2 linked regions of the Lepisosteus oculatus genome follow. The protein of the gene in region 1 interacts with the protein of each later gene in a biochemical or structural test. Links are inferred from orthologs where the notes say so. Each region holds a gene or a part of one and is shown in the gene's direction. Other genes may lie near its edges. The genes, in order: mettl22 and kin.

Region 1 (15,991 bases):
GCAGATGCCTTGTCACAGAGCACAACAGAAAATATCAGTGCAGAAATACAGCTCATGCCTCAGTTCTCAATTGATATCTTTTTAATGCCTAATCTAAAAGGAATTAAGAAACCTACTGTGAAGAAAAACAAATAATGTAATAATAATAAAGTGCTAAGTGAAAATAAGCATGAGGCGAGCAGTTTAGGGAACTATTCACGTACAATTAACACCTTGAGCTGTTTGATCTCGGCCTAATTATAGCAGCGACCCTTTATAGACAGGGAAAGCAACATGCGTGTCTGCTTGTATTGATCAGGTTAGAGATCTGCTGTTGTCTCAAAATACACCAAGGAACGGAGAGATGATGATAACTCACTGTGCTACAATATGAAACAGGCACAACAATAAAGCGAGCGCAATTTATTAGCAGTCCTCTTCGTGCAGCAAACAAAACCTAGAACCAATCCAGACCGAATCATTTTTTGCTTTCTTTTTCTTTTCCGGTCCCCGGCGCTTTAACTGTGGTTGAAGTGCGACCAGACGAATATCGCAGCCTGTAAATTGCTCAGACCGATGCAAATGATTCAGCTCAATTAAATTGTCCCAGATGTCTATAACCTTTAATATATGAGCCACGGACCACGCTGTTATTGTTTTCTACAAGAGTAAATAGCCACTGGAAGGAAAACAAACAGTAGCCACCAACATTCTGAAATATGCAAGAACCAAAAATAATACGCAAGAGTTTGGTTAAAGGTCTACTTGAACGTTTTGAGAATGTTGAAATGCATCAGGTTTAAAAATATAGACTCTTAAAATGATTCTTACTGAGAAGTTGCTTCTGGGAGTCTGTGATGTTTAGGTTTTCATTTCCAAATGGGTTTACGAACGGCAAGCAGTTGCTTTTTACTGTAAAAAAAATAAATTTAAAACGAAATATTAATTAACAGTCCCATGACTCAGTCGGATAAATATTAAGTTTTAATTATGCAATAGGTAAATCGTTATGAAAATAACTTACAATTGCAAGTTCTCCATAGTCCGGAATGAGAGCTGAGATGAGCAGAAGAGTTGTGGTCCCACTTCGACGCATCAATTATGTACCAAAAATCAGTTCCTATAGCAACAACCAGAAACACAAAGCTCAGGACACCGACGAGAGCCACAAAAATCGCCAGAGCGCTTAGTGTAAGCTTCATCCTGGCTGGGACGAGTAGAGGAAAGAGGACTTTTCACATTTTAGCTCCCGTAGAAAGATTACTGGAAGGAAACCCAGGAGGTATCTGGTCCAGATGTGGACTGGCGTCTACTGGCCGCTGTGGGTCTGCAGCACAATCCCTTGTAGCGAGGACTGTTGGCAGTAGGTGGCACATTTTTAGGTCTTGATGTAGTCATGCATTCCAGTATCCTATTCGTTTAAAATCCTGTTGTGATATGTATTTAAATCATAGGTGATGGCGGCTTTAAATTGCAAATGGCTTTGTGGCGCTGTGCACAGAGCTCGCCAATGAGTTTTCTTTTTACACATAGCTCTTTTGTTCAAAAGCGATTATAGTCCAGGAATAGGACCAGTGTAGGCGAATAATTTTGTATTCGTTTTCGAATCTGAAATCCGCTGCCCGTAGTATTTCTGCATCTCAGCACAGAAACGCATGTAAACTTGAGTTAAGAGGCTCTAAAGTTTTAAACCCTTCTGAAAATCGTTCCGTTTGTTTCTGCGTTGTGGTGACGACGGTGATGATCATGATCATGGCTGGGAAGAAAGAACGCAGATACGTCCTTTAATAAGATTAGTGTTCCGGGTTAATTGGGTACAGTCGGACTCATTTAATTTATCTGCCTCACCTCGTAGTCTTGGAGAAAAACGAACTCCGAAACTGTGAAGCTTTTTTGTGATGTAAATCCCTGACACCGAAAATCAAGAGTACATATCTCAACTGTCAATAAACCTCTACTTTCTGAGTAGCAGGGGCAGTAGGTTTCTGCATGGCAGTCATTAATAATGCTAAAAGCGCTTTAAAACAAGACTTGAATATGTGCCAACCCACAGTATGTTAATTTGCTCGTTCAATAGAAACATATCCTGAAGCACAGCGAACGCCGCCTCAGTCCAGACGTAACAGTGAAAACAGATTTTTTTTTTCTGATTCTCTCAAAACGCAGTGAAATTGAACACTGACACCGATATCGATAAGGAAAATGTAAAAACTTCGAATTCCAATCAGTCGTACAGTACCCCTGTCACAGAAACCTCACAATTCAATACGGTAATGTGTCATGCTGTTCTTTCCAAGATAATACATTCTGGAAGGCGCCATCGGAGCTCCTACGTCTAGGAGTATGATGATTTGTCTCATTACAATATTACAGGCAACGGTGGTAATAATATCAGTAGTCAAGTGTTCTGTGCCAAGAGCGATTATGTTACGACAATCCCCCCGGATGCCATTTGGAGACTGGCTAAACAAACATAATTACAACACGAAATACAAACGTGTTTCGGATACTCGCAGTCTGTAGTGCAGTTGTAGCTGTAACTAACCCGTGACGTAAGGGTTTGGATTTGGGATTAGAGTTTAGGTTACTTTCAGGTTTACGATTTAGTCTAGAGCTGGTTTTAAGGGTAAGGCTGACCTAAGGTAAGATTTGGGTTATGGTAAAACTGATCAAGTAGTGGTCAGGGATAAAGTTAAGACTAAGATTTAGGTTAATTATAGTGTTAGGCTTAAAACAAAGGCTAAATTTGAGATTTATTTTATTGATGATTTAAGTAAAGTATAGAGCTAGGGTAATTTATTAGTGTCTATATTAAAGTTAAGACACAGAGGGTTAAATTAGAAAGCTACATTCAGAGTTCAATGTAAAGCTACAATTAATGTTTTGTTCAGGATTTTTGCTAGGAAATTTGGAATTTAAGGTTAAGTGCATTAAGGGTTAAATACAGGGATGGGGTGAACAGCAGCGATAGATGAAGAAAAGTCTATATGTAGGGGGGAAAAATCCATCCCCGAGGTTATTGTGTTAATTACAAGTGGCATTGTCATAACTAATTCGGGCATTGCTGAAAACTTAAGAAAAAAGAAGATTCATTAATTCCTCTCTGTCAGTTTTCATTCCATCCGAAGTCTTTAGACCTCGGAACTAAGATGCCGCTGTTTCCTGAGCTCCTACGGCTGTCGGTCTGTAATACATGTTGCACTGAACTGTCAAACACGGGGTTTGTACATAGGGGCGAGAGGATATGTGCAAACCCGAGAGGCGCTGGTACTATTTTAACTTTGAACAGTTACAACTGCGTGTGTAGAGTGTTAATCGTCATTATTCATCTCCGTAGAGCTGTATTTGTTTTTGGCTTCACAAATTCCAAAGGAAACTTGTAGTGCGCGTCCGACGTCCCTGCCATTTCTGTAAGTTTCAAGTAACTATTTCTTTGTAACCTTTTCGTCCGTTTTCTTGTTACAGTAAGTTGGAAACACAACCCCCTCCACATTTTCACAAGCCTGAAGTTAAAGGTAGTTTCGAAAATAAGAAGAGTGCTTCAGGAAGGTTGTGAGCTGAAGACTTGTGTGCGTTAAATCAAAGTGCAGGCTGCGGAGAGCCTCTTTTAAGGTTCTGCAAGACGCAGACAGTAATTTGCTGTCCGTTTTACCAACAGACTTGACTGTTTCTGGTACAATAGGTGGCACCTGACGGACTGTGTCTGCAAATGGCGAGACGATTACAGTACTTACATTGAGTGTTGTTTCTTCCAAGTACTGCAGCGAACAGTCCGAGGAACTGATGTTTATGTATAAAGGTTACTGTCAATAAATATAACTGGTAAAATATAAAATCCCCAATACTAAAACAGCCTCAGAAGAAAGACAGCATGTACCTTTTGACTCAAGGCTATAACATGCATATACACCGAAACATACATGCTTGTTTTTTGACAAGATAGTACTCTGATTTTAATTAGCTGAAACCATTATTATACGCATCTTGCATAAAATAATCGTTAATTCCCCAATAAGGTAAAAGTATTATTTTGTCAGTAACTGTCACCAAGTGCGACAAGTGATATAATCATGTTGCAGTGTAAGCTAATGAAGTAAGACATGCATTGTAATGCAGTGTACTCAACAAAAGGTGTGACAGGCGAAGATGCAATAAGGTTTGATCAATGTAAAAATAAAAATAGTAACTATAATTAGCCACAGCTCGGGATTTGACAGTGAAGTCATGCGGAGGTGTAGCAGTGGTTCTGAGTGTAGCACTAGCCTAAATTTGGCAACAGCTGTGACGATAATTCACAGCCTGGTGCCAAAACAGTATCTTTAAACGTCTGGCATTGCGAGCAGTGGCTTAGGCTGAAAGTCACACTGGTTGTTCTGACATTCTACCAGCAATCAGGCCTCTTAAATTCTGTTATTTTCCACAGCAGTGCGCAGAAAGACTGAGGGCTGATGTGCTGAGATGGTGGTTTTTTAAACATGTGAGCAACATCCAGAATTCAGAAGTGTCAGTAACAACACTGGGAATTTGCCTAAAGCCGTTTGCATTGCATAGTTTATCCAGGGCTCCTCGGCAATTGCTTTTGCAAAATGCTACAGGGGATTTTTTTATGTTAACAGAATTTGGAAATGCCTTTTATTCCTGTTAGACCTACAGAGAAAGAGAGACCCGGGTGTGCTACTGTACATGCAGAGCAGTCTTCAGTGCTGTAGTGGGTGTTACTGATGTATCCTTTTAGGACCATTTGAACGTTAGTGGAAGTATGTTTTGATTGGCAGGATCAACTGTTTGTAAGTGTGGTTCTAAATCAGTGGTTTTCCCATCATCTCGTCTTCATTGAACAGGCTGTTTAAGAATCACTGTAGGTCAAAGAAGAGGCAAGTCAGACTTAACGTTGAGCTGTATATCTCACCTCTCTCCTCCAGGCTTCACATGCATTGTGTTAGTTTCTGACAGAAACCTTTTCAGGAGCCCTGGGTTGTGACTTGAGCCAATGACTACTCAAGATTCCCTGTAACAGATATAGTCAGGGGTTGATGTCAGTTAAATGTCAGATACTTTATTAATTAGCATGAACAAATATTGAAAATTGGCTAAATGTCTTTTTAAAAAAAATATTTTGAAAATCCAGATTTGGGAGTTGGCCAAACAAATAAATCTTACTGGTTTTCCCATCAAGCCAGCAACAGTAGTTTAATAATTCATAAGTACAACATCAGGCATCTAGACTTGGCTCATTGCATAATTATGTTGTATTTATGTGCCTACTCCTGAGTACAGAAGCTATTTAGCCTTAATCTGGGATGAGTACATAGCTGGAGAATGACTGCATTGATTTACTTTTCTTAAGCCTTCAGCAGTATAGTGAATGCACAATACAAGTCTCTTGCCTCTTTGCCATAAGGCTCAAAAAGAACTTGGTGATTTTGAAATCTGTTACGTCTACTAAAAAGCAATGAAGACCTGAATGTGAAGAAAATACAGTAGAAAGTAGCATAACAGGGGAATTCTAAGATTACAGTGACAACCTTTTTTAAATAGATTAAATGTTTTAACCCATATGCATTTTAAAGATTACTCTTTTATTTTGTACAGTACACACATTTAATGTTGTAATGAAAATTCTGTAAGATAAAGCAATTTTTACAAATTGAAAAAGACATATTGTACATATTGTGTGTATGTACTGTACACATTGAAATTTAATGCAAATTTACATCTTAATCACAGAAAAGATACCTCCTTCTGTGTTGTATGTCCAGTATATGGTAATATGAAATAACAAGATAGAGTATATATACATGGAGTGTACAAAACATTAGGAGTGCCTTCCCAATATTGCATTGTACCCCTTTTATACTCAGAACAGCCTCAGTTCGCTGGGGCGTGGACTCGACAAGGTGTTGAAACCATTTCGTAGGGATGCAGGTACATACTGCATGTCTACTCAGAGTAGCTTGTTCCATCTCATCCCACAGATGTGCAATTGGATTGAGATCTGGTGCCTGGGCAGGCCACTGCATTAAGCTGAATTTCCCTGTCATGTTCATGGAATCATTCCTGGACAATCTTAGCCTTGCGGCATGGGGCATTATCCTGCTGACAAAATCCATTCCCAGATGGATACATTGCTGCCGTGAAGGGATGCACCTGATCAGCAGTGATGTTCAGATATCCCGTGGCTTTCAAACATTGCTCCCCTTTTATCAAGGGGCCCAATATGTGCCTTGAAAGCACACCCCACACCATCACACCACCTCCAGCCTGCTGGAGATGTCTGGATGTCTTTTGGGTGGCGGACCATTCCGGATACAAACGGGACACTGTCGAGCCTGAAAAACCCAGCAGTGTTGCAGTTCTTGATGCACTCAAACCAGCATGCCTGGCACCTACTATCATACCCCGTTCAAAGGCACTTACATCTGCTTTCTTGCTGATTTTCCCTCACATACAGTACACCATCCAAGTCTCTCTTGTCACAAGCCTTAAAAACCCTTCTTTAACCTGTCTCCTCCCCTTCATCTACACTGATTGAAGTGGATTTAACAGGTGAAATCAATTAGGGGGTCAAAGCTTTCACCTGGATTCGCCTGGTGAATTTCAAGGATTCTATTTCAAAGAAAGAGCAGGCATCGTTAATGTTTTGTACACTCATTGTATTTTCATATAAATGCAAAAGGTAGGCCCAAATCTGTGCATAATGTGTACCAACTTGCCAAAGAAGAAGAAATGTGTGTTTAGCCCACTAATTATATATCTGAATCTGTACTGAAACTCATGTTTTAAACTGACATGAACTGTTTAATAAGCTAGATCTCTTTTTCCACTAACAGCCCAAATAAGCTATGCAGATGCTCATTTTATATTGACAGAGCACTGTGTGGATAAATGTATACTATATATAGTACCCACATAGTAATCTCTTACATAAGCAAGTTGATTTATACTGAATTTCAAGCCTGTTACCCCACTTGAAATTACAGACATGAATTATACATGATGATTTTCTGCTTTGTTTGTACAGTTTGTACAAGAGCCTGCAGCTTTGCAAAATCTAGAATGTATTGAGTTGCTGCACATTGGGAGTCATATTTGTTTCCCTTGACATTCTGTTACATTGCAGCTAAGAAACAAATTGAGCTTTCTGTCTTCCTGCTGATTAACCAGTCAAATGCACTGTTTATTACTGTGGAGGACTTTCTTTATATAGCTTGGAATTTAAATACAGCCCTACTAATCCTACAAAGTAACTGATAGGTTGTTCAGTTTTTTCAGTCGTGATTGAAGAATTATATTGAGGTGTGTATCTGTGGCACTAAAAAAGCCTGGAGCCTAATTTTATCTTCCAAATCCTTCACTGATTCCACCTGCTGTGTAATTGGTTTACAGTTTCTGTAGATTTAGAAAATGTCTAGGCGTTGGACGCTTGCACTGGAGAAACCATGATGTATATTTTCAGGCAAGTCAAAACCTTGTGTAGCAGGGCAATAAAATTGGCATGGCAGTGCATATTGCCGAACACTGCACTTGGGAGAAAAGAACTCCTTCATTTTAATGATTCTGCCTTTGGTTTATTTCTTCAAAGGAAAACCTCTCCTGGTTGATTTGCGTACAGCGGCTGGCAGGGTTTCAGAACAGAGGCTTTGCTGAAGGACCCACGACAGCAAATCAGAAGCCCACCTTGCTGTGTGCTGCCTTGCAGAGGGACTGGAGCTGGTCATCGCGAACAAAGGCGAAACTCCGCGAAGATCCGGGGTGAAACGACTGGCTCCCGGGTCCGGGCCCACTGTGCCCGTCATGCTGCTCTCGCCATGGACCTCATCACGTTCCGCAGCGACACCGTGCTGTCCGACGTCCACCTGCTGCTCCCCCGCGGGCAGCGCCTGATGGCGCGCCTCAACGCCGCGGGGCAGCCAGGTACGGGGGCGGGAGACCGAGACGGCACAGACAGTGTGTCACTGCCCGCAATCCGCCTGTCCACCTGTCGTGCCGGCTCAAGCCAGGACAATGCTATGTAAGGGACCAGTCAGAGCAGGGACAGTGTCTCCTAGTCTGGACTGGGGACTGTGGAGAATTTCTTGTCTGGTGTTTTGAAGTTCTTTCAAATGCGCATGTTCTTAGACGGGTACTACATAGTAAAACTCTAATGTTGGGGATTCCTGTCATGTAATATTATCTTCATTCCTGCCGTCGCTATTAGATTGTTTAATCAATCCTGGTATCAATCAAGATTTTTCCCCAAGCGATATCTCTTCTTGTGCCCTGAAAAGGAAAAGGTCATCAATTAGGCCAACAGCTTCCTTTTTTCCCCCTTCCTCTTTTAGTTTTCGTTTCAAGGTTTAAGATTCTGCAGGACGGCTCGGGCTCTGCCTGCATCCCAGGAAATGAAGTGGCTGTGTCTGCAGCACCTGGAGAGAGAGGCGGCTCGCCTGGGGAGGAAGAGGAGGGAGAGAGGGGGCGGCGCCAGGTTATGGAGTCCCTCCTGGATGAAGACGGGGATCTGGACGTGCTGCGGAGACCTACGGCTTCCCTCAGGGCAGAGGGAGCTGTGGCAGAGAGGGACAAAGTCTGTCCCATCATTCTGAGTAAAGGGGAGGGGGAGTACAGTGATGAGGAGGAGTCGGCTGCTGACAGGGATGTCATTAAGATTGGTGAGAGTCTTTCTGTGGCAGGAAGCTCACCCTCTGAGCAGCCATGAGACCCTTGCTGCTCAGAAAAGGGTCCTCTGGCTGCCTGTGATGTAAAGAAAGCGAGCGCATTTTAACATGCTGTTGGTGTCCAGTGCTGAAATTAATAGAAATATTGATTCACAAATGTGCTGTTATCCTAAAAGGGGAAGAAAGTTTGCTGTTAAACAATTCATGTTTACGTGTTGAGTTGTTTATATGAGTTGTTGCTGTGTTGCTATGTTAATTTGTGCCGATCTTTGTTCTATCCTATTTAAAAATCCCAGACAGTTTCATAATCAGAATGAAGTTAACAGAATGAGAGTCGCAAGTCTCCAGTTATGCAAAAAAAGGACGGCCAGCCATCCATTCTCAAACCGCTTTGTCTACTTCAGGGTCGCAGGAAAGCCGGAGTCTATCCCAGCAAGCAAAGGGCAGTAGGAAGGGTACCCCCTAGACAGGATACCAGTCCATCACAGGGCACGCACAAACACAGATACACGCATTCATACCAGGGCCAAGTTTCCCAGAAGCCAATTAACCTACCAGTATGTTTTTGGACTGTGGGAAAAAACCCACAAACATACCAACTCCGTGCAGACAGCACCTCAGGTCTGGAATTGAACCTGGGGCCCTCAGGGTGCTCTGAGGCTGTAGTGCTAACCCCTGTGCCACCATGCTCTCACCAGCTATTGATTTTACATAACCGGTTTAACAAAATAAAATGAAAATCCTATTCCCAAGACTGAGAACGCGGAAAAATAATGTTGGTGGTAATTTCAGCTTTCGTAATGAAATGCGACTCATTTTTAAATTAATGGAAAATACGACGAATGCCGGGCAGACTTCAGCAGTGAAAAACTGTGTTAATGGGCCTGTGAAAGCGAGGGCATTCAGAGTGTGGTGCTTCATAAAACAAAGGGAGATTTACAGCCCTTTTAATGGCAAAGCCTGTACAGTGGAAGATAGAGTGTTTAAACGATGCTCTTCCATTGAACCAGCCAAGGAGCTGAGTCATATTAAATGTTGTCCTCTTAGTTTGTCTGTATCGGCCTTTATCTGCCTGAATTGGCTTCATAGCCCTTAACCCCAACTGGTCCAGGGGCGCCGTACAATGGCAGACCCTGCGCTCTGACCCCAGGCTGGGGTGGAGCGGTGGCTCTGTGGCTAAGGATCTGCGCCTGTGGCTGGAAGGTTGCCGGTTCAAATCCCGCAGCCGGCAGAGGAGTCCTACTCCGTTGGGCCCCTGAGCAAGGCCTTTAACCCCAACTGCTCCAGGGGCGCTGTAGCAATGGCTGACCCTGCGCTCTGACCCCAAGCTTCTCTCCCTGTCTGTGTGTCTCATGGAGAGCAACCTGGGGTATGTGAAAAGATAATTCCTAATGCAAGAAATTGTAAAGGGTTAATAAAGTGATATTATTATAGCTGTATCACCACTCTCTCCGTGGCCCTTGAGTGTGCACGTGCGCCAGCGTGTGTGAGGTAATTCCTTGCCAGGAGTGGGATTCTAACCCCAGAAATGTGCCCTTTGTTTTAAACAGAGCATACAATGGCTACACCCCTGGAAGATGTGGGTAAGCAGGTGCGTGTCCGTGCGTCTCGTTTGGTAACATGGATCTCGTTTCTGTGGAACACACCTTGTAGCTGACTTCTCTCTCTCTTTGTTTTTTCCTTTTCCGCTAGGTGTGGAGAGGTGCTGTCTTTATGGCCGATTACATTCTGTCGCGCCAGCAGCTGTTCAGGGGGCGCACTGCCCTGGAACTGGGGGCCGGGACTGGAATAACCAGCGTTGTCCTGGCAACGGTTGCCAGCAGCGTTTACTGTACAGGTAAGCGTGTCTGGGAACATTGAGTGTGATACAGTACAGACTGAGCTGAAGACCTGTAATAATGAGTGAAGGTTGCTGCACAAGGCCGTGCACGTATCTGTTTCCCTGTCGATTGGTGCAGACCCGGGGGAAATCGTTGAGTCAAGCATTCCCATTCTTTTACTGCGTTTTCACCCTGTCTTTCTCCCCCTCACTATCCGTTGAGTCATAGGATAGCCAGCATGTGCCTGGAGCGCCACTTTCATGGATAAACCAGCACCAGCATGACTTCATTGCCCAAAATGGCAAGTGAAAGGTGTGATCTGCTGCAGGAAATCTCATTCACACCTCCTGTCCTCATGCTGACCTCATGCTGACCTCAGTGCCTCCGTTAGAAAATAAAAACAAGGCCGCCAGGAGATGACAAAACTCAGATAGCTGGGCGTGCAGTGCTGTGTTATTTTCTTGCAGGATGCTTATTTTTCTTTTCTTTTGCTGTGGAAATGAAAGACACTGAAAGTGAGTCACTGCTGGAAAGCGAGTTGCTGGAAAATGTGTTCTTAAAAATGTTAATAAGTTCACCAGAGAGAAATTCTGATGAATATTTGATGTAGTATCTGGATTTTCACTTATGTGTGAAATATGTCAAGAAAAAAATCAAGGGGCTATAGGGCAAAGATGAGGTTATTGATTTTCTTCCGCTACAAAGAGACCTAAGAAATCTTCTGTAGACACGCAGTTATTTTATATGTTGACAATTTCTGTATGACCCGAGAGATCAATTTGTGTGTCTGTTTACTGTGCCGTGTCTTTCAGATGTTGGTCAAGATCTGCTGAGCATGTGTGAGAGGAATGTGGAGTTGAATAAGCACATACTGCAGCCTGCAGGTAAGATACTGCTTTCTAAATAGGCTGAACTTCCTGGGCATTTCATGAACACACTGGTTCCCTCTAGTGACTCACTTGGGTCACTCTCACAGTGTGCTGATCTGTACGTGGTTGTACTGGGCACTGATCTGCAAGAATCTAGATTAGATCATTACCTTCTGATATCCTAGACAAATTGGTCGCTTAGGAGAAGCTTTCAGTACCATATTATCAAAGGATTCTCTTTTCAATTCTAAAGAGTTTTTTAATTGTGAAGCTGAATGCTGTATTGTTCTAGTCACTCCCAAATTTAAAAATGCAAGTTAAGCCTAGATATTCAGTGAAATAGTGGATTTTCTTCCATACAGTCTTTATTTTGGATGAACTTTAGTAAAACAAAATGACTTCTGGCTCAATTTGCAAATTGAATTTGAATTATTTCTATTTGTTTAAAGCTGTCGTATTCTAAGTACTGTGCATTTTCATAAATGTAATTCCTCCTCGAATGCTGGCAATAATTTCTGGACGCTTTTGTGGGAATTAATTCATTTAATCTGTGTAATTAGTCTTCAGTGTCAGTAGTCTCTCTTAAATGTTTTGAACCACACATTTCTGCCACTAATTCATAAAAAATGAAATGAACATTCCATGCATAAGACAATATTTTGGTACCTGATTTTGAAAATATCAAAGCTCCTGTTGTCTATATACATTGGGATGCCTTGTTTACTATAACATCAGTTTAATTGTTTCTGTACCTCTTTTCATTACCAGGAGGTGAAATCAAAGTTCGGGAGCTGGACTGGCTCAGAGACGACTTCCACACAGGTACGATTATGATCATGAGAGAATTGCTAATGGAACCCCAGGAGTAATTACTTCTTTATCTGTGTGATACAGTTACCTACATAATCACCCTAAACTTGTGCATATGAGCACAGGCATTTCATAAGGTGCATCCGAGAAAAAAAGGAGCTGTGTGTTCTGTTTAATGCTCTAATCTGTTTGCTACATTGAGGAGCATGTTGTTTGCTCTTCTTGTGAGATGTGCTTTCCTGTTTTGCGAACATTGGTAAGTTGATAGGGTCCTGAGGTGGCAGAATCCATTGGAAGCTGATTTGAAGTCTGCCGCTTGCTGACTGTGCTTCAGCTGTGTTTTCCTCTGGGCGCGTGCCAAGTGGGAGCGGGGCGGCGCGAGGAGGTGACCTCACCGGCCTCTCGGTGCCTGACTGACACCGCCGCTCCATTGCAGGCGCGGGTCGGCAGTTCAGCTGGACAGAGGAGGACATCGCGGATCTCCACGACAACACCACAGTCCTGATCGCTGCGGACGGTCCGTGTGCTGCCCAGATAAGATGCGCACCTGTGATACAGTCAGTTAAAGCAAACATGTCCAATCGAGGCAGCCAGGAAAGAGTGGAATGTGATAATAAGATAAGATCACTTCTAGCACAGGTTAATTACTTAATAGAAATCACTTTATTAGCCATATACAATTTCTTGCATTGGGAATTTGCATACCTGAGACACACAGGCACACAGACAGGGAGAGAAGCTTGGGGTCAGAGCGCAGGGTCAGCCATTTATACGGCGCCCCTGGAGCAGTTGGGGTTAAGGGCCTTCCTCAGGGGCCCAACGGAGTAGGATTCCTCTGCCGGCCACGGGATTTGAACCAGCAGCCTTCCAGGCACAGGTGTAGATCCTTAGCCACAGTGCCACCACTCCGCCCCGGAGATAATATTTAGTCTTACCTGGGTCCTGTCAAACCATCTTTCTGCTGAGTCGCAGCTCCCTGCTGTTTCAGCGGTAACCTGAGTTGCCCCTGGCAGTAGGCTGGGTCTGGAAAGACTGATTCTCTGAAAGTATTCTTTAATTGCTCTGTTTGTTTCAACAATTCAAATTGATGAAAAGCAACATATGGCAATGGAGTAAAGAGAGCAGACAGCCAACTCCTGACAAGTAAACAGCAGCTGGGCTCCACGCCACTGTGAAACTTAGGAGGCTGAATGAATGGTCTTCATTCCATGAGGTTTTCATGTGATATGTTTGGGTGTATGTCTTAAAGGTTTTATATAATATTTAAATGACCTAAAAATAACCTGGATGGAAGGCTAAAAAACGGTGTCGCACTCCCAGTGTTTTTCTAATTGCATTGTGTTGTGTTTTTCAGTGTGTTATGATGACGAGCTGACAGATGGCTTGTTCAGAACACTATACAGAATCATGGGCAATCTACATAACCCGAGCACTGCCTATTTCTCAATTGAGAAAAGGTAATTCCTGAATGCAATGCGTGTGTGTCTGACCTGTATTAGCCGTTTTCATGCGACTCTGTTGGAGCGTGAGACGTTTCAGTCCTGAATGCTGTGGGCTCCGCTTTCTGCAGAGGGGATGGTATATTTCGGTGAACACATCCATCACATCATCAGGAGCTCATTTGTGGACTATCTCCGCACTGATGCTTAAGTTCGGTTTGGACGTTGTTCCAGGCTGAATTTCACACTCAGGCACATGGACGTGTCCTGTGAGGCGTACGATCACTTTCGCTCCTGCCTGGAGGCCCTGGGGAAACTGGCTGACGGCCGGACGGTGTTCTCTGTGGAGCAGGTCCCCCCCTCCTTCCCTCAGTTCTTCAGCTACGAGCGAATCGGTCAGCTGGTGAGTGGACCACGGAGCTCCCTGCCTGCGCTCGGCCCTCACAGACACTGTCCTGTCACATGTTAGAACTTAGTGATTTTTTTCGCCAAGGTACATACCAGCATGGCAAATATCTGTCCTTGGTTAGTTACTGCTCTGTTTGAACAGGGTTTAAAGGGCCTTGTCCTCTTTTGTGATCAACAAATCTGATTTTAGTGGGCAGGACTGTGGTATTGGTTTTTCAATATTACTGCCTCAGAGCTCCAGGGTCCTGAGTTTGATCCTGGGTTTGATGCCCACTTGTGCATGCTCACATGGGATTTGGTTAGGTAGCTGCTCGTCCCTTTTTTGGGGGGGGGGTGTTTGAGGGAACACGCATGTAAGATGTGTTTCCAGTACAATAGAGATGGAGAATCGCATGAGCACAATGGACCGAATGGCTTCAGCAGTGGTCTTCAGTTCCTCTCATCAAGCAGCACCTTGTTTTTTAAGGTGGAAGTTGTGTGGCCAAATTTGTGCCACTGCAGCCAAGGGAAAACGGGAGCAGAAAGAAAAGCTTGAACTTTCATTTTCTTCTTCTTCTGTATTCCAGGAGCTCTGGAAAATCACAGCTTCACCCCTTGAGTGCAGTAAGGAATCCACTTCTGAGAAATAGCTCAGCAGCAGCCTGCCAGAACTGCACTGCACTATACTGGCTGATAGTTACTGTGACACACTACGTATCACTACGATGGCAGTGTGAAACCATAGACTGTGATGTTAAATATTGAGTTTGAACTGACTGCAGTTACTATGTTTTGCTGTTTTTTTTTTTAGTCTTTCTATCTAATTTGTTTCTAATTTAAAGAGCTTTTGTTTCTGAAAATGATATGGTTTCCTTGGTTTAACTGCTGTGTTTAAGAAACACATTTCAAACTCTTACAGATGTATTGAAAACCCTTTAAGAAATGTGTACAGTTTTTTTAAATTATAAAGAATTAAAGCAGGAGTTCTTTAATTAAAGAGTCATGCAGTTTTAAAACATCAGTTCTCATGACAGTGACAGTTCTTTTTCTAGAATTTAACTTGGTAGTTAGATGGCCTGCTTTATTTGTGGCACTAAAGGGATTTTTAGCTTCATTTAAAAAAGGTCCTTAATTACCTAATTAAATAATTATGCAAATTTGTATTTTTTATGAACAAGTGTACTGTATGGGTTTATTTAAAGCAATCTGACTTTGTTAATGGGGGTTTTTAATTGACTTCACAGACTTTGAAACAAAATGCATTTTGAATAATTGAATTTAACAGCTGCCTGGTTAATATTATCAATATTGAAATGCATATATAAAGCCATTAGGTTTGCAATAATGTTAACTGTACAGTGTGAATCCAGAATACAAATGTTTTCAGAATTTTATTTTTAAAATAAAATATTTGAAATACATTATCCTGTCTGGTTCCTCATTGTTATGCAGCAATGCATTTTAACAAACATTAGGAATAAAACTTAACTAATAAATGATGCTACAGACAATGGTACTGGTCTATATATTGTATATTTCTTGAAATGTCTCTTTGGACATATATTAAGGTGATATATTCTTTGGTTAGATTTAAATTAGTTTAACTGTAAAGCTCCCAGAGCTGCAATTCAAGATTTTTATAAAGCTGCCTTCCTCTTTAGGTGTGGACCTATATATGTTTCAATGAATACAGATAAAACCTAGAGAATTAAAAAATGCAATCATTAACCTTGAGTTTAACTACTGGGGCATTTATAAAAGAAATTGCTCACTCAGTAGTTTAGTGAAAACAGATGAGCAAAACCTGCTGTACCTGCAAGCTATATTTGCTGTGAGGAATGAGTTGTCAAGGACAGATACAGTATTTTAAAACCTTTTCCGGTTAATGCTGTGGGACAGAAACAATGTTATAATGAATAATATTCTAAAACACTTTTTTTCCACTAGGTGGAGGCGCTGGGCATCTTCCAGGCATTTTGCAATACTTAAGGTGGCCATCAGAGGAACCGCAATGTCAGTCTAAATATTCCTCC
Region 2 (15,908 bases), on another chromosome or scaffold:
CTTTAAAATAGTACATCTGGAAATACTCAAGCAATAACAATATTCTTTGATAGTATACACCAATATGAAAAGTTCACTATTCCGTAATGTAGATCTTCAATATAAGTTATAAAGAGTGGAGGTTTCAATACAGATCCTTGTGGTACACCACTAATCACGTTTTGAGCTTTTACCCCTTACCTGTACTTTTTTGGAGAATTCATATTATGAGGAACTTCAAGTATTGTAAAAATCATCTGGTCAACTTGTATTCATTACTGCTACTGCTGAAGTTCTAACGAGATAAACAAGACCAACTGTTTCTCCTTGAACATATTGACGCAGATGGATGATTATCTAATTAAAATTCCAATAACGCTGATAGTAAGAAAAGTAAGACTTATTAATCTATACTTTGTTCAGTTTTTTCACCTTTTGAATAGATAGGTGTATCCATCATTGTGTATTTACCACCTTCTTGAGAGACTGCTGATTTTTCTTGATGGGCTATGAATTATTGTTTTGTGTACAATTGGTGGGATACCATCAGGCCCTGGAGATTTCTTTAAATATTTTAAAATACTTTTAACAACTTTCACTTCTATGCTATTTAATATAGAACATTTTTTCTTCAGTCTGCAGAATGTACTTAAAAGTTTTCGCTAAACAATAGGGGGAAATATTAGCCCTTTTAATCTATTGTCACCTCTGGGGGACAGTTCTTTTACTGTTGTAATACAAAATTGTAGTATACTGTACCTTATTCTCTCTCTACCTAATATCCCTTTCACTTGTGCTCCCCTTTTTTAAAATCTGAGTTTGTTTCATATGGAATTTGTGGCATTTTATTCTATTCCTAGTAGCACATACTGTATCCTTCATGATTAACCTCTCTCCTTAGCAATTCAACTTCACTACTCGGCTTAAACACAAAAAATAACCTTAAATTTGATATTCTTATAATATTAGGATTTAACAAATAACTGCAAGGATACAAAAAGGTTCAGTATAACAGTATACTGATACACTATAACAGTAGTATACAAGTTATCACTAATACTTTACAGCTCTTGGGTCCCGAGTTCTAATTCTAATTCTACTGTAGGGCATCTTCTGCTTGGAGTTTGCATATCCTCCCCAGGCAATGCTCCAGTTCTCCCCTACATTCCTGCAACCTGCTGGCATCTCTAAATTGCCCCCCCCCCCCCCCCCAAAAAAAAATTGCTCTTTGTATTATTGAACAAATACTGTTCTTTTTTAAAGTTAATAAACACTCATACATCAGACGACTTTGACTTATGAGATTTGAGATTCTGGTATAGGTACCATTAAAATAGGTTAGTTTTGCATTAAACAGCGTGGGAAGAGGCAGAAATGTGCATTGTAGATCTAGCTGCAGAACAGTGAAAAAGCTTCTCAGTCTAACACTGGATGCAGCCAACTCAAACTAAGGGTTTGCAGACTCTCCTACTATACTTTATTTAAAATTTAGTAAACGCGGCTCATTTTCAAAATGTTTGAAAACAAGAAATGGGTTATTTTCCATTGCAGTATTGATCTATACTTTAATGTTTTCACAACTTGTAGAACACAATTTATTTTTGCTTTTGTGTAAAACGCAAATTATCAAAGGAAAAAAAACAATTACAATTCTGTGTAAGATGTTTATTCGAAGATATTTTACAAACAGAGGATAGTTTCACGAATACTTGACAGAACTGATGATTCTCAGCGTGGACACCAGAACCTTACTGAAACTTGATAATAGCTGGTCTTCCATGTTTATCTATAACAAAAACATATAAAACTGGTTATAACAAAAGTGCAATGTATATTACATCTGTTGATTGCTATGGAATGAAAATAAACCAGGTTGTCTAAATGAACTAGATCCACAGGCAGAACAAAGCACTAACTACTAACAGCTGAAGTAGATTTAGGCATAAAGCATATGTAATAAATCTTTAATCTCTAAAAGGTGAAAATGCCAAGCCACAAAGGAGATTCAAAACCATACATGTCTTCCAAAAATATTTAATTAGGGAACAAACTAACATGAAAATCACAATATCTAGTCTAAGGCACGTTACCTCGGTTTTGGTTCTGATAAAACCACACTTCAATCTCTGAAAACATGCCAGAAATAAATCAGAACAAAGGATCAGTTGAAATAAAGAGTAACCTTTAAACTACATCTTTAACAAAGGATTAAATCCTGATTGAAGTTTGGCCTCAGGAAATGGTACTTCACTAAGTAGTAATACTCATTGATTTCTTCACTGACTAGACGGGGAAATCCTACAAAAATGTTGCAATTCAAAGCCTGTGTCTGCCAGTACATAAACATTATTTGAAGCCATCACATTGACACACCTAATTTAGGTATTTGGAATTAGCTGCCACTTCACGCGAGACAGGAACACCCAGGAGTGTTAAGAGTACATTGTTGTCCATTGATGATTTAACAGGGATCATATTCATATTCCAAAAACATAAGATTTTATGATCATGTCTTTGTTTAAAATGCAGGTTCGCATTTTCTTAGCTCGGAGATATTCACACCCGTTCCCGATGTGCTCTAGTTCACCAGGTTTTACAGGTCAATGAGTCCAGACTGGAATAAAATCTAAAGACATTGTGGCTCTCCAGGACTAGGAGTGAATATCAGTGCCTTGGCTCAGGGGACCTCCATCCTGGTCCTGGAGGTCCAAGCACCTTCTGGACTTTGTTCCAGTCAAAGCCCCGTTTCACAATTGAACATGAATCAGGATTCACTTGAAATGCTTTACTGTTTGTTTTCAACTCTTAAACATGTTGATGTTTGATTTGTAACAACTGCAGTTCTTAAGGACAATTAAATTACTGAATGGACAAAATAAAAAACTTGTAAATATTCCAATCTAGCTACTTGTTATTGCAAATAAGGCTTCAATCAGGTGGAAGAAAAACTGGAAGGTTTGTGGTTTTCCTGGATCAGGACAAGAACTCTGCCTTAGCTGTTTATATAATAGGGCACATCGTACTTTTACTCAGGACAGCAGTCCAAAAAATGATCAATATGAACTACATGTACAGGGCATCATAACATAACATCATTAGCCCTATACAATCTCTTGCATTAGGAATTCGTCTTTACGCATACCCCCAGCTTGCTCTCAATGAGACACACAGACAGCGAGAGAAGCTTGGGGTCAGAGCGCAGGGTCAGCCATTGTACAGCGCCCCTGGAGCAGTTGGGGTTAAGGGCCTTGCTCAGGGACCCAACAGAGTAGGATTCCTCTGCTGGCTGCGGGATTTGAACCGGCAACCTTCCAGCCACAGGCGCAGATCCTTAGCCACAGAGCCACCACTCCACCCCCCAATGGTGATGAAGACTATTTATGAAGATAATTACAAGTCAAAATGACTTATGAACATTTTATGGCAACTAGATTTTGATGCCAACTCTAACCAAATGCAACAGGGGAAGATTATGAATGTGAACAGTGTTTTACTTACAGAGCAGCAGCACCAGAGATGATCTCAATAAGTTCCTTGGTGATGACTGCTTGACGGGTGCGGTTGAAAGTAAGCGTCAGCTTGTCAATCATCTCGGCTGCAAAGAACAGAGCGAAAGATCTTTAACAAAATCACACCTTCAGATATTACGTCATTAAGAGAATCCCTTTTGAAGAAGTCAAAAGTCTTTAAATTGCTCAAATAGATCAGCTAAGACTGTGTCAATCGGTTTAAAAAAATGTGTTTTACAAGATTTGGTTCAGAATATAATCATACAGAGAGGTTTAAAAATTTGACATTACAAAAATAGTGTTAGTTTGCAGAAGACTGGACTATTGTAAAAGGCAAACTCAGAAAGCTCTTTCATAAATTCTGAAAGTCTAAAATGCATTTTAAAATAAAAATATACAAATCATACAAGCATTCTTGCTAGCACTGTCCATAGCAGTCATCCTAGCACTCTGCTCGCTGGTGGTTGACTCCTTCAAGCTGAAGTAAATGATATTGGTCAGAGCAAACTCCTGGTAGTTTCGCAGAACATCTGCATCAATGTCATCATAGACACCAATGTTTTCTGAAAGGACCAAAAATTAACACATTATACACAGGCTTAATGCATCCATCTGTTGTTTCATTAATATAAATTTTAATGTAATTCTGATCATGTGGTGGAAATGTTCCAGATAACTCACAAGATACACATAATAGCAAGTATATCCCATTTCATTTAATCAAAACATTTTTTAGGTAAATGCAAAGTGTTTTTTTTTCTCTCTCAATAACCTGCATGGGAAATCCAAACCAATGGTGTTCAGAAACTGCAGAGAAGGTATTTCTGAAAATAAAAATCCTAATTTTATGTTTATAATAGGCATTCATGCAATGTATGTCTCTGTGAAGAAAATAAAATTCTGTGTTCAAGTTAACGTAATGGCACTGATTCTTTTTCAAAACCATTTTCTCTTTTATAGTGGAACACAGAAGCCAGCAACCTTATCATTGTATGCCTGTTAGCATAATCAGATTATTTATCACCTATTAGTTAAAGCACCTGGGATTTCAACAAAATGAGCTGCTGGAGAATTCCTGAACTGCTTCTACTTGCAAGCAAATAGCACCTTTGCTCATCATCACACTGCTTCATTAGCAACAAACACTTAATAAGCAGTATATTTGTAAAAAGAATCCTTCTCATTGGATAACATACCTGAATTGGCAACGGTGTCAAGGGAGAACAAAGGCTTTTCCTCGGTCCTGTACGAAATAACAGACCTAAGAAAAAACAAAAGAAGCCGTTTTAAATGCAACCCGATGCTGAAAGCTCCAACGTGCGAGTTTAAAATGAGGTTCTGGATGTTTACCTGAATCGGTTGAAAATGATGGAGCCTTGGTCAAATTCAAATCCGGAATCGAGCAGCTCGGTGGCAATGGTGGCAGCATCCCCAAAAGTGGGAGGTTTGCGTCCTACTTCCTTGCAATTGAGTAAGAAGTGCTTTCCATGGGTCCTGCCAGGTAAAGTTCAAGTACCTTTATTGCCATTTGCACGAACAGCGCGTTGGAAATCTTACACCGTTTCACTCAGTCAGAGAACATAAAGACAAAAGGGTAAACACACAGACTATGTGCAGGACACTATATACACAAACTGAAAAAAGACTCTACACAACCTGTACACACTATTATGCAAAAAAAATCCACACAAGAATGGCTCCTAAGTTACACGTGATAAAAGACATTGCGTCTACGGAGCTGAGGTTGATGTGGGCCTCCTATACGTTATGCCGGTTGGCACTGTCCTTGGGAAGAAACTGTTCGTAAACCTGTTCCTTCGGGTCTTAATGCTCTCTTGCTCACGACGCCGAAGGTTATGTTTAGCGTCTCGCCAGGTAAACAGACTTTGGCTAGGGTGGAGTGGGTCTTTGAGGATGTCGTGAGCCTTGCTCCTGCAGCGGGCTGTACTGAGATTCTCCAACAAAGCAAGTTCTGTTCCAATGATATGTTTCGGCTGTTCTAATCGCTCTCTGGAGAATGTGTTTGTACTTCTGGGTAGCACCGCCGAACCACACTAATACCTCCAGTCACAATGCTCTCAATGGCACAACGGTACAAACTAACCAGTGCTTTTTTGTGGGTGCCACTCCTCTTTAGGCACCTCAGAAAGTACAGACACTGCTGGGCTTTCTTCACAATTGCACTAATATTCTCTGCCCAGCTCAGCATATTGGTAATATGTAGGCCACGAAACTATATATAAAGTATAAATGAGTGCCATTGTAAAAAAAAAACACACAAAAAAAGTTTTTGTTATTGATTTACAAGAAAGTACATTATGAACTTTTCTTTTAAGGGCAGTACTTAATACAAAGTTGGTATCGGCTTTCAATATTTTGTCTGTCTTCACTTCAATAAAAGTGAAAAATAAAATGGCCAGGACTCAAGAAAAGCAATTAAAAACAAAAACAGCGTGCAGCAACAACAGACATTTGTTATGAATGACTAAAGTCAATTACAAGATCAGTTAACAGGACTATCATAAAGTAGGGATTACCTTTGAAGGATACCTCTCAGCTTGTCCCCAACACTAACCACCATGACCTCCTTCCCGGCGCTGGTCAGACTGGCGATTTCATTCTTCATGGCCTTCGCAATGCTGGAGTGAATAGCACCACACAGACCACGGTCGGAAGAAACGCCAATAATGACGTGCTTATTCTTGTCTTCTGGAGCCTTGATCTCTGCCTTTTCATACAGAGCTGGAAAAATATCAGAGTCACTACTCAAGCTTGGCAGGTAGTTATTACAGTCACCCAAAAGCCTGTTTATCCCACTTAAAACATCTTAACTGTCCCAACCTATCTATTTCCTAATCACTTTATTTAATTCAGGATCACAGGGGAGCCAGAGCACATCCCGACATGCAACAGGCACAAGGCTGGGTGCACTCTGGATGGGATGCCAGTCCATCACTGGTAACAAAGGTTACCACTGACTCAGACACACACGCTCACACCAGGGCCAGATTTCTCAGAAGCCAATTAACCTTCCATTATGTCTTTTGATGTGAGAGGCAACCAGAGCACCTGGAGTAAACCCACGTGAACACATGAACATACAAACTCCACACAGATAGCATCCCAGGTCTGGAACTGAATCTAGGGCCCCATCTCAACAAGGCAGCAATGCTAAACACAGTACCACCATGCCAGCCCATCTGAAGTTATAAAATAACTCAACAGAAGTATAGATTATTCTATAGAACTTTTTTTCCCCCACATAAGCAGAGAAGATTATGTGGCAAGTGCTTTACAGAAGTGTAAGTAAAAGCCCTCAGCGTCTTCGTCTTTAAATCCTGTTTTCTACAATGTAAAATCTTCCTTGAATAATAATGCACTATTTTAAAAGACATTAATATATCATTTTATAATTTTTAAAAATCTGCTTTTAAAATAACACAAACAGCATTTTTTTCTGAAAGACTAGCTTCCATTGTGGCAAATATCTAAATTAATATATTGGGCAGTTTGTGACACCCTGTGACAAACTCCTGGAAACTAATAACATACCCAGGGCCCCAGTTCCATAAACACGTGCAGGTTTCAAAGATCTCTCAGCCCTTGAATATTTTGCTGCAGCAACCATTTTCATGGATTTGGTGATCTTCTGGATATTCTTGATGGACTTCAGGCGAATGGTGACTAGAAAAAAATATATACACTAAGAACAATTGCAAGAGATTTTTAAAAAGGTTTTAATCATTTCAACTGATCACTGCATGGAAACAGGCTAGTATTTAAAAAAGTGACAAGAGTACAGTTACATTTCATATCCCATTGCACCAATGTTTGAAAAATATTATTCACTTAATTTCTGGCTACAAGGAATAGTCATCTTGGTATTTTCTGTCCACTGAACAGAAAGATTAATGCATGTGAGAAATTAAGACAGTCTGTTCACTTAGGTTTTAGTCACAGAAGTTTTCCACAATTTCAATGCATTTCCAACCTTTTCCCTTGGCAAAGTTTCATAATTCACATTTATATGCCTTGCTTTACATTTCACACTCGTCAGATCTTTACTAACCTAATGATGCAGACCTGAAATCAGCTAATCATGAAAGACTAAAATCCACTAAAACTATGAGCAAAATGTCCAAATAACAGGATAAAATACACTTTATTAAACAATACTTACTGTCCTTCAGTGTAGCCATGTTCCTGACTTGGCCACTGCAAGAGAAGCTAATATTAGTCAGTAATATTTGTAATGATTCATTTATAACATTACAATTCAGTGCACCTTTGGCATGCAAAACAGATTCAAAAGGTAGTCTGTGGAATTTACAGGATGTGCTTTTTACACAGTAAGCTATAGGAGGGTGGAACAAGCTACACAGCCACTATGTTGAAGGTGATATCCGGCCGTTTGTTTGAAAAAAAAGCTGAGATATGACCCACAGATCAAATAGCTACTAAAACTCTAAATGCCTATATATGCCAAATGGCCCACTCATGTTTGTAGCCACATCAAATTGAATAATTTCTTAAATAATTGCACCACAAACAAGTTTTCCACATCAATGCTAACAACTTTTTAATCACCCCGTAAAACAGTATAGCACAGGCTCAAATAGGAATTTCAGTTCAGGCGGTTTTAATAACTGACACTAATGATCTATATCGTTAATATAGATATTAACTGTCACAATGACAAAGGAACAATACATAGTAAAACATATGTTTTTAATATGTCTGATGTTTGCTTGAAACATATTCTCAATAATGCAATGAATGCCCTGTTCGTCTTGGAGAAGTGACATTGAGAGCTATATCGTTACCGCAGTAAGCATTTATGCAACGGCGGCGTTTCAAATTATCATGAGGTGTTGTGCAAATGCAAATTTAAAGAGCAAAAAATACTAACAGTGGGTAAGATATGAATAAAGACTTAAATGTTTCTTACAATGAATCTCGCTTAATAGCATGAACTTGGCCGCCCTACAAAAAAAACTGCCCAGGCCTACCGGTAAAATAGTGCCAAGCAAGATCTGTCTCTACGGAACAGCACAAAATCTGACTCGTGCTAAAGCATAAAATAACCAACCGCACATTAACAGATATCGTTTTGGATTTAACCCTGCAATTAGATTCACGTTACCATTGTGGCTGAAAAACCAGAACGCTGGCTCTCGCGAACATGGTGACACCAACGAAGGTCAATCTCCACTCACTGCGCACGCGTAAACTTCACTTTCCGCAGAAGAAGTCAAACAAATCCACGTCACATGGCCCAACTCAGTCTCGCGATGGTCAGACGGTGTGGGTAAGCATGACGTAATGACCCAATACCGAAAACAAGGAGCGCAAGTTGTTGATGACGTGAAACGCAACAGTAAGGAGAGCGCGTTGTGAACTTCTGGTTCCAACAGGGATCATCGTTATTTTGTTTTGTTTGTGAACATTGGCTTTCCAAAATGGGAAAAGCGGAATTTCTGAGTCCCAAAGCTATAAGCAACAGGATAAAGTCCAAAGGCCTTCAGAAATTAAGATGGTATTGTCAGATGTGTCAGAAACAATGCAGAGATGAGGTGAGTCTGGTTAACTTTAGTTTGCACAACGTTTTACATTTTAACAACTAACAAATAACACTTAAAAGCTAAACGTACGATAAGGTATTAAGTCTAAATCGTGTTCATACCACACTACAAGAAAATGTCGCCACAAAACGTCTCACAATTATTATGTTTTATGAAATATTATCATACAATGTAGTGACGAAATACAACTAGCTACTGCGTGCTGACCGGCAGATGCAACTGTCGAGTATTTTAAGCTCATAATTATTGACTGCAAATGATAATTGCTGTGATTCGAGACGGAGAAAACGCGAAGTAAAGGTCTGAATGAGTCCTGTTGTGTTCTTGCTAGAATGGCTTCAAATGTCACTGCATGTCGGAGTCGCACCAGAGGCAGCTCCTTCTCGCCTCGGAGAATCCTGACCAGTTCATGGACTACTTCTCAGAGTGAGTGTCGAACTGGACAACTGAAGACTGTTCCTTTACCATTTCCATTTTCTGACTGTGCCCTGTGTTGTTAATATATTAGGTGATTAGCCAATGGGAAATTTTGGAAATCAGAAAGAATGAAGTACCTAGACGGTGACGGTGCCGATAAGAAATAACATTCTTCTTCTTCTTCTTTTTCACAGCCTTAGTCCCAGACTGTCCTGGGGTCAGCTGCTTTGGTTGCTCTTCTCCATTTGTCTCTGTCGAGCACATCTTCCTCACTCACTTCACATACCTCCATATCTTTTCTCACACAATCTATCCATCTCTTTCTAGGCCTGCCTCTTCCTCTGTTACCTTCCACCTCAAATTCCATTACCCTCTTTGTTACTTCCTCAACGTCCCTCCTCATGATATGTCCATACCACCGTAACCTCGCCTCTCGCATCTTCTCAACCACATCCACCACCCTACATCGTCTACGGATTTCTTCATTTCTGATCTTATCCTTCATTGAAATCTGCAGAATCCATCTCAACATCCTCATTTCAGTTCTTCTCATCAAGTTCTCTTCCCTCTTTCCAACTGCCAAGCATTCAGCTCCATATAGTAGTACAGGTCTAATCACAGTCTTGTACATTTTGCACTTTAACTTTCTGGGAATTTTCCTGTCACAGATTATTCCAGTTATTTCTCTCCACTTGTTCCATCCAGCTTTCACTCTTTGTTTTACTGCCTCCAGTGTTTCTCCTCCCTTTACCAGTTTTGATCCAAGGTATTTAAAGTCATCAACTTGTTTCAGTTTTCCTCCATTTGTCTCCTCAACATTGGTCATAGTATCTCCTCTTCTCTCCATTACCATTATTTCAGATTTTTCTGCATTCATTTTCAGTCCACCCTTTTCCAGACTCCTCTGCCATTTGAACACTTTCTCCTGTAGTTCTACTTCTGAGTCTGCCATCAGTGCCACATCATCAGCAAAGATGAGTTCCCAAGGCACTTCTGTTCTTACCTCCTAAGAAATAACATTCGTTGAAGAAAATTAAAAAAAATATTATATAACTTAAAGCGGGTGACACTTTAACTTAGAGGAAATACCTTAAAGCCTGCTTATGACCATAACTGTGTAGTCTGCCTGTTCTGCACCAGGCTCTTGTTGGAATGATCAGAAGACCAAAATTCCAGGTTTGATGAATAAGGTGACTCTGATTCAAGTCAGATCCATTCATTCCAGGAACTTGATGAGGCCTGTACATCACACGTATCAGATGCTGATTTATGTTATGAGATCCTGACATGAACATACAGTAGTCCAGTGTGTCCTGGACTAGCACCCTCTGTATGTTAAATACTACTTGTTTGGGGAATGTCATGGAGTCTATAACGATAGTTCAGGAGGGATGACGGCAGCCAGGTTCAATCAGACCGGGCTGTCGGTAATTCACAATCAGTCCTGATGTTATTTCCTCTCCTAAAACCCTTTAAATACTGTATGTGATCCCCTTCTCTCCCTCACATACATCTTTTGCAACCCACCTCCACCCCTTCTCCACCTTTGCAGCTGCCCCTTGGTCACTCCTCACTCTGCATAGAGGTCTCAGCCTCCTCGTCCTATGGCCAGGAGGTTAGCCCTCAGACAAAGGGGGTTAAGCCAAATTTTGACTAAACGCTCCATAATCCTTTCAGTACACTTAATTACCTGGTGTTATTATTCCTAATAAACTTCTGATTTGTTATAAAGACTTGAACAGCTGAAATATCATGTAATATAATTGTGGTATTAATGCTAACCAAAAATACATAAATTATATTTCTGATTAATATTAAGGTTTACTTGAGCATTTATGATTGCTTGCTATTAATGCATAGAACTGATTTGGTTGTTTGCTCTTTTAGGGAGTTCAAGAATGATTTTTTGGAGCTGATTAGAAGACGTTTTGGTAAGATTAGTGGATTAATACCTAGCTATGCTTTAGTTAAGTCTTTATTATATTAAAGTTTAACATATTAAACACTGTTCATACAAGAAAAGTATGGAGGAGATAAACAATTATCAATTTTGTATTTTACAGTTTGCCTGTGTTTACATTTGCCATTGTAAAAGTTGCAGAGAACCTCATCTGCTTTTAACATATTCTTTAATGGATTAAAGTATACAAATAGAAAACATTGATATATCATTTTAGTAATGATTTCTGTTGTATTTGCAGGGACAAAGCGAGTCCACAACAATATTGTCTATAATGAGTATATAAGCAACAGAGAACATGTCCATATGAACTCTACTCAGTGGGAAACCCTCACAGACTTCACTAAATGGCTTGGTAAAGAAGGTAAGTCTTTTTAAAATGGATAAAGATCTACCAGGGATATCAGTATTTGCAGTAGTGTTCTGTGGGTGAAGGGGAGGATTTCTGCCTTGAATCAAAGGGACATTTAAGCCCATGATTGATTGTCACAAAGCCAGTTGTGGCATTGTTTTCTCTGGGTATCATTTTTGAAAGATTTTAAATATATCTAAACTTAACGTTTCACATACTGAATCATAGGATTTATTAAATATGATAGAAGGTTTGTAAAAAGAAATGTCTTGTTCCATGTGATATCTAGTTAGACAGTTGTTGGTAATGCTTTTCATTCTTCTGCTTTAATTATTTTCTTGTGTTAAAAATCTTATCATATTTTTTAAGAGAACCTTGTTTATCCATGCATATTTTCACACTTTAACACTCACTCTCCAAACATCGGTACCAGATCTTACTTTAAAGCCACAGCTTTGGTAATCATACACCATGAATAGGATGGAAATCTTTTATAGGCATGCCCAGTGAAATGGAAAAAAATATTTCCTTGCAGGCCCGCAATTTCTTGCCTTTTTGAACTGTTTTGATAAGAGGTTCCTAAACTTTGTAGGGCTAAAGTATAAGAGAATAGAAATCTGTTTTTCTATGTTTAGGATACTGTAAAGTGGATGAGACACCTAAAGGCTGGTATATCCAGTACATTGATCGGGATCCTGAAACAATCCGAAGGCAGGAAGAATTAGAGAAGAAGAAAAAGCAGGATCTGGATGATGAAGAAAGAAGTGCGAAATTTATTGAAGAACAGGTTCGCAGAGGCAAAGAAGGCAAGGAGGAGGTAATCACAGTGCTAATATTAGTAAGAGCATTCGCGACAGATGAGAGAAGCTTACGTTTGATTCACATCTCTTCAAACTTCATATAAACCAAGTCCATTTCCCAGCTGAAAACACCACATTTCTGCCAATTTCAACAGATGGCCTGGATTAACTTTACATCACAGTGACTGTTGGTTTTGTCTCATCGGTTCCTTAAGCACCAGTTCCTTAAATCCGATCACGAATCTCAGAACCCATTTGCTATACATTTCACTCCTGCAGTTTTAACCTACATTCTTGTGAGTTTATTTTTGTCAGCGGTTAAATGGGACAAATGTTCTTTTAAACAGTATGATCTATTTAACATTCTTTAATGACACGTACAGTGTTTCAGGTAATTATAGCTAATGATCATGCTCAACTTAAAGGGCAATGAATACTTAGTTCTTAAAGTGTGCTTGGCCTGTGTGGAATAAATACCCAAAATAAAGAGTAGTAATCACTTTAAGTTCTTTCTCTACAGATCCTCACTCTTACAGCAGTTAATTATTTAAATCGTCTCCAGCAAAATCAGTAAGATCTTGGTCTTAGTTACCATGTTATTTTTCTAGGAAACTCCTGTCTTTACAGAATTGAAAAGAGAAAATGAAGAAGAGAAGGGTGAGTACTTTCAACATTAATGTATATAAAAGTGAATGTCATTAAAAACAAGTTATTTTGCTCGTAACTACAAGTAAGTTTGTAGTATTCATTTATCCAGTTTGAGGTATTTTAGTGCCAGTATTGAATCTAAGGAGAAAGAAAATATGATAAGATTCACCAAAAAATTTAAAATAGCTGACAGAAATAAGGTGTGGGATAATTTATAGCAGATCTTTAGGTCTTGAATCCATAATCCATAAAACTTTAGAAAAGCTCTGTTTGTAAACATATGAATGTGTCTTGACCTAAAATAACATCTAATCATGCCATGCAAGTCCATTTTTATAATAGCTATTAAGTCAGCTAATGTAAGACTGTGGACACAATCTCTCCATCAGTAATTTAATAATTAACTGTCACCCAGTGAACTGATTTACAATTGTTAGAGGCCCTTTTCTTTCCTATAGTGGCAGGTTTTCTGGTACTGCAGTATCTTCATAGACTGCCCTGGCACACAAAGCTTTTTGCTCCAGAGCACAGTTTACTTCTGATTTTCTGAAAAGTATCAGAAGAAATTTCAAGTATCTTAAAAAATGTAAAAGCAACAACAAGATTAGGCCATTCACCCCATTAACGTATTTGCCTCTCAACTTAGATAGTTGATCTGCGGATCTCATCCTGCCATTTCTTGAAGGATGCCTAGGTATCTGCTTCAACAACATGCCTGGGTGAAGTTTCAAATACTGTAAGAAACTTCATAGATACAGAAAAGATTAACTCAGTTATTAATTTTGTTGTAGATGTTGTGAACTCAGGCATAATGGTCTGGAAAACCTTTACATGTTGTTAATATTATTTATTAATATTGCAGTTGTGTTTAATTTGGCCAAGGGATTGAGTAACTCTGCAGCATCTTCTTCAAAATCAAGGTAAGGATGAATATTAATAGTACCATGTAATGTAATTTCAGGTTGTTTTAATTTTTAGCGATTGTTCTTTTTTCTTTTATAATTGCTTTTTCTGCACAGCAGTGTTTACACCTGTAGATTAGAGTATTATTTTAAATGGGAGTTTAAAATGATCTCAGTTGACTTTTACATTTAAGGAGAATAAAGACTTGATAAATCTTTTTGCACGTTTTATGATAAAAAGACTGTTTCTACTTCCATTTCTACTAACATAAATATGGAAGATTGTATGTTACAAGATGATATTTTAAAAAAGTTATATTAAACTTGATAATCAATCTAAACGTTTGTTTTGATGGGACTCTTTTTATTACCTGACTCTCATTATTTTCTTTTGTTTTCTTAATTGTAATATAAATGCATTCCTAAAAAGAAGAACTAAAGCATATCATTTTCCCAGCACTTCTCTAGGACCAAGTGCCCTGCAGGTTGCAGCAACCTCTGTAAAGAGAAAGGAGTCTAGTCATACCTCAGAATCGAAGGAGAAGAAGAAGAAATCTGCACTGGATGAAATCATTGAGGTACTGTTTCTAAATTGTCATTATAGAAGTCTTTGTTTTCAATGTGTTGTGCACAGTACTAAATGTAGGCCCTTATTTACAAGTGTTGGTGAAATATACCCATTAGGCAGACCTAATAGGGCATTTATCCAAATTAAGATTATGTGTATTTTATTACATCTTTCATTTAAGATTACATGTTCAGTTATGTTCATTTTTACACCCGGGAGTTATGACTGATTTTAACAATTTTAATTTGAAACATTTAATGTCCATGTCCTTACTTATTAGTAAAGCCCATAAGGGCTATAAAAATTCAGACCTATTATGTTGACATGAACGCCAAGTCTCCTGCATTTCATTTTCACTAGTGCTCCAGGATTATAAAACATGTAAAACCTAAAATGAAAAGATAGATACTTTATTGATCCCCTGAGGGAAATTGCAGAAAAGATGTTACAATTATCCCCATTTATACTTTTAAATATCATCTTGTGGATCGGTTTATCAAAACAGTTAGAAAATTAGATTGTTTCGTAATTATTTTAGATGGAAGAACAAAAAAAGAAAACAACAAGAGTGGATTACTGGCTGCATCCTGTAAGTCTTCAGATTTGAGTCTTTTTCACACTTGTACACGGTCATAATGAGAGGCCAGCCTCTTGTTCTACACAGTCAACAACTTCTTTGTGTTTGAACGTAATTAGTGAATATTGAACATTAATCATATGGAACGATATCTGCTGCAAAATCTAACTGCTGCACTGTATATCCCCAGTTTAGTTTATAACAGATATCTAGAAGGGGATGAACACTGCAGAGGAGCCACTCTATACTGTCAATTAATTAATTTTGTTATCAAGATCTAATAACCGGTCTGAGAAATTGGGACTGCAGTTCCTCTTTAATTTACTTTTCGTTAATTTGTCAAACTGTAGTTTTTAAATTACGTTAGTCTGTTTTAAGATTCAGAAACTACCATTTTTTTAATGCCATTTTCTTTTTCAGAATATTATAGTTAAAGTAGTAACAAAGAAGCTGGGTGAGAAGTATTATAAGAAGAAAGGAGTTATAAAGGTAACTGGGTTAAATATTACTGTTACTTTTGGTAAACAGTCAAATTTTGAAGATGCAGTAATGACTTACCTCGGAAATTTGATGTATTGTTGGGGAAAAAAAACTTATTGTTGAAAAATCCTCAA

The links.
Region 2: of the proteins of mettl22 (region 1) and kin, one has a biochemical effect on the other in vitro, tested with the Homo sapiens proteins (2 studies listed by BioGRID). The link is inferred for Lepisosteus oculatus from reciprocal best matches to the Homo sapiens genes METTL22 and KIN.

The regions. Positions count from the first base shown.
Region 1 is NC_090714.1:13,696,203-13,712,193, reverse strand, and holds mettl22 (methyltransferase-like protein 22), read left to right. Parts: upstream 1-7,586; 5' UTR 7,587-7,787; coding exon 7,788-7,893; intron 7,894-8,300; coding exon 8,301-8,627; intron 8,628-10,183; coding exon 10,184-10,224; intron 10,225-10,325; coding exon 10,326-10,470; intron 10,471-11,265; coding exon 11,266-11,337; intron 11,338-12,090; coding exon 12,091-12,144; intron 12,145-12,568; coding exon 12,569-12,649; intron 12,650-13,486; coding exon 13,487-13,589; intron 13,590-13,805; coding exon 13,806-13,974; intron 13,975-14,545; coding exon 14,546-14,608; 3' UTR 14,609-15,362; downstream 15,363-15,991. Other genes in the region: transmembrane protein 114, read right to left, coding at 811-891, 1,004-1,181. UniProt on the Homo sapiens protein: Protein N-lysine methyltransferase. Trimethylates KIN at Lys-135 (in vitro).
Region 2 is NC_090702.1:43,103,425-43,119,332, forward strand, and holds the start of kin (DNA/RNA-binding protein KIN17), read left to right. Parts: upstream 1-8,825; 5' UTR 8,826-8,947; coding exon 8,948-9,061; intron 9,062-9,401; coding exon 9,402-9,496; intron 9,497-11,374; coding exon 11,375-11,418; intron 11,419-11,688; coding exon 11,689-11,811; intron 11,812-12,434; coding exon 12,435-12,616; intron 12,617-13,207; coding exon 13,208-13,256; intron 13,257-14,109; coding exon 14,110-14,167; intron 14,168-14,606; coding exon 14,607-14,727; intron 14,728-15,255; coding exon 15,256-15,306; intron 15,307-15,714; coding exon 15,715-15,783; intron 15,784-15,908. Other genes in the region: atp5f1c (ATP synthase subunit gamma, mitochondrial), read right to left, coding at 3,474-3,574, 3,896-4,051, 4,685-4,749, 4,839-4,982, 6,026-6,230, 7,041-7,172, 7,669-7,703, 8,632-8,672. UniProt on the Homo sapiens protein: Involved in DNA replication and the cellular response to DNA damage. May participate in DNA replication factories and create a bridge between DNA replication and repair mediated by high molecular weight complexes.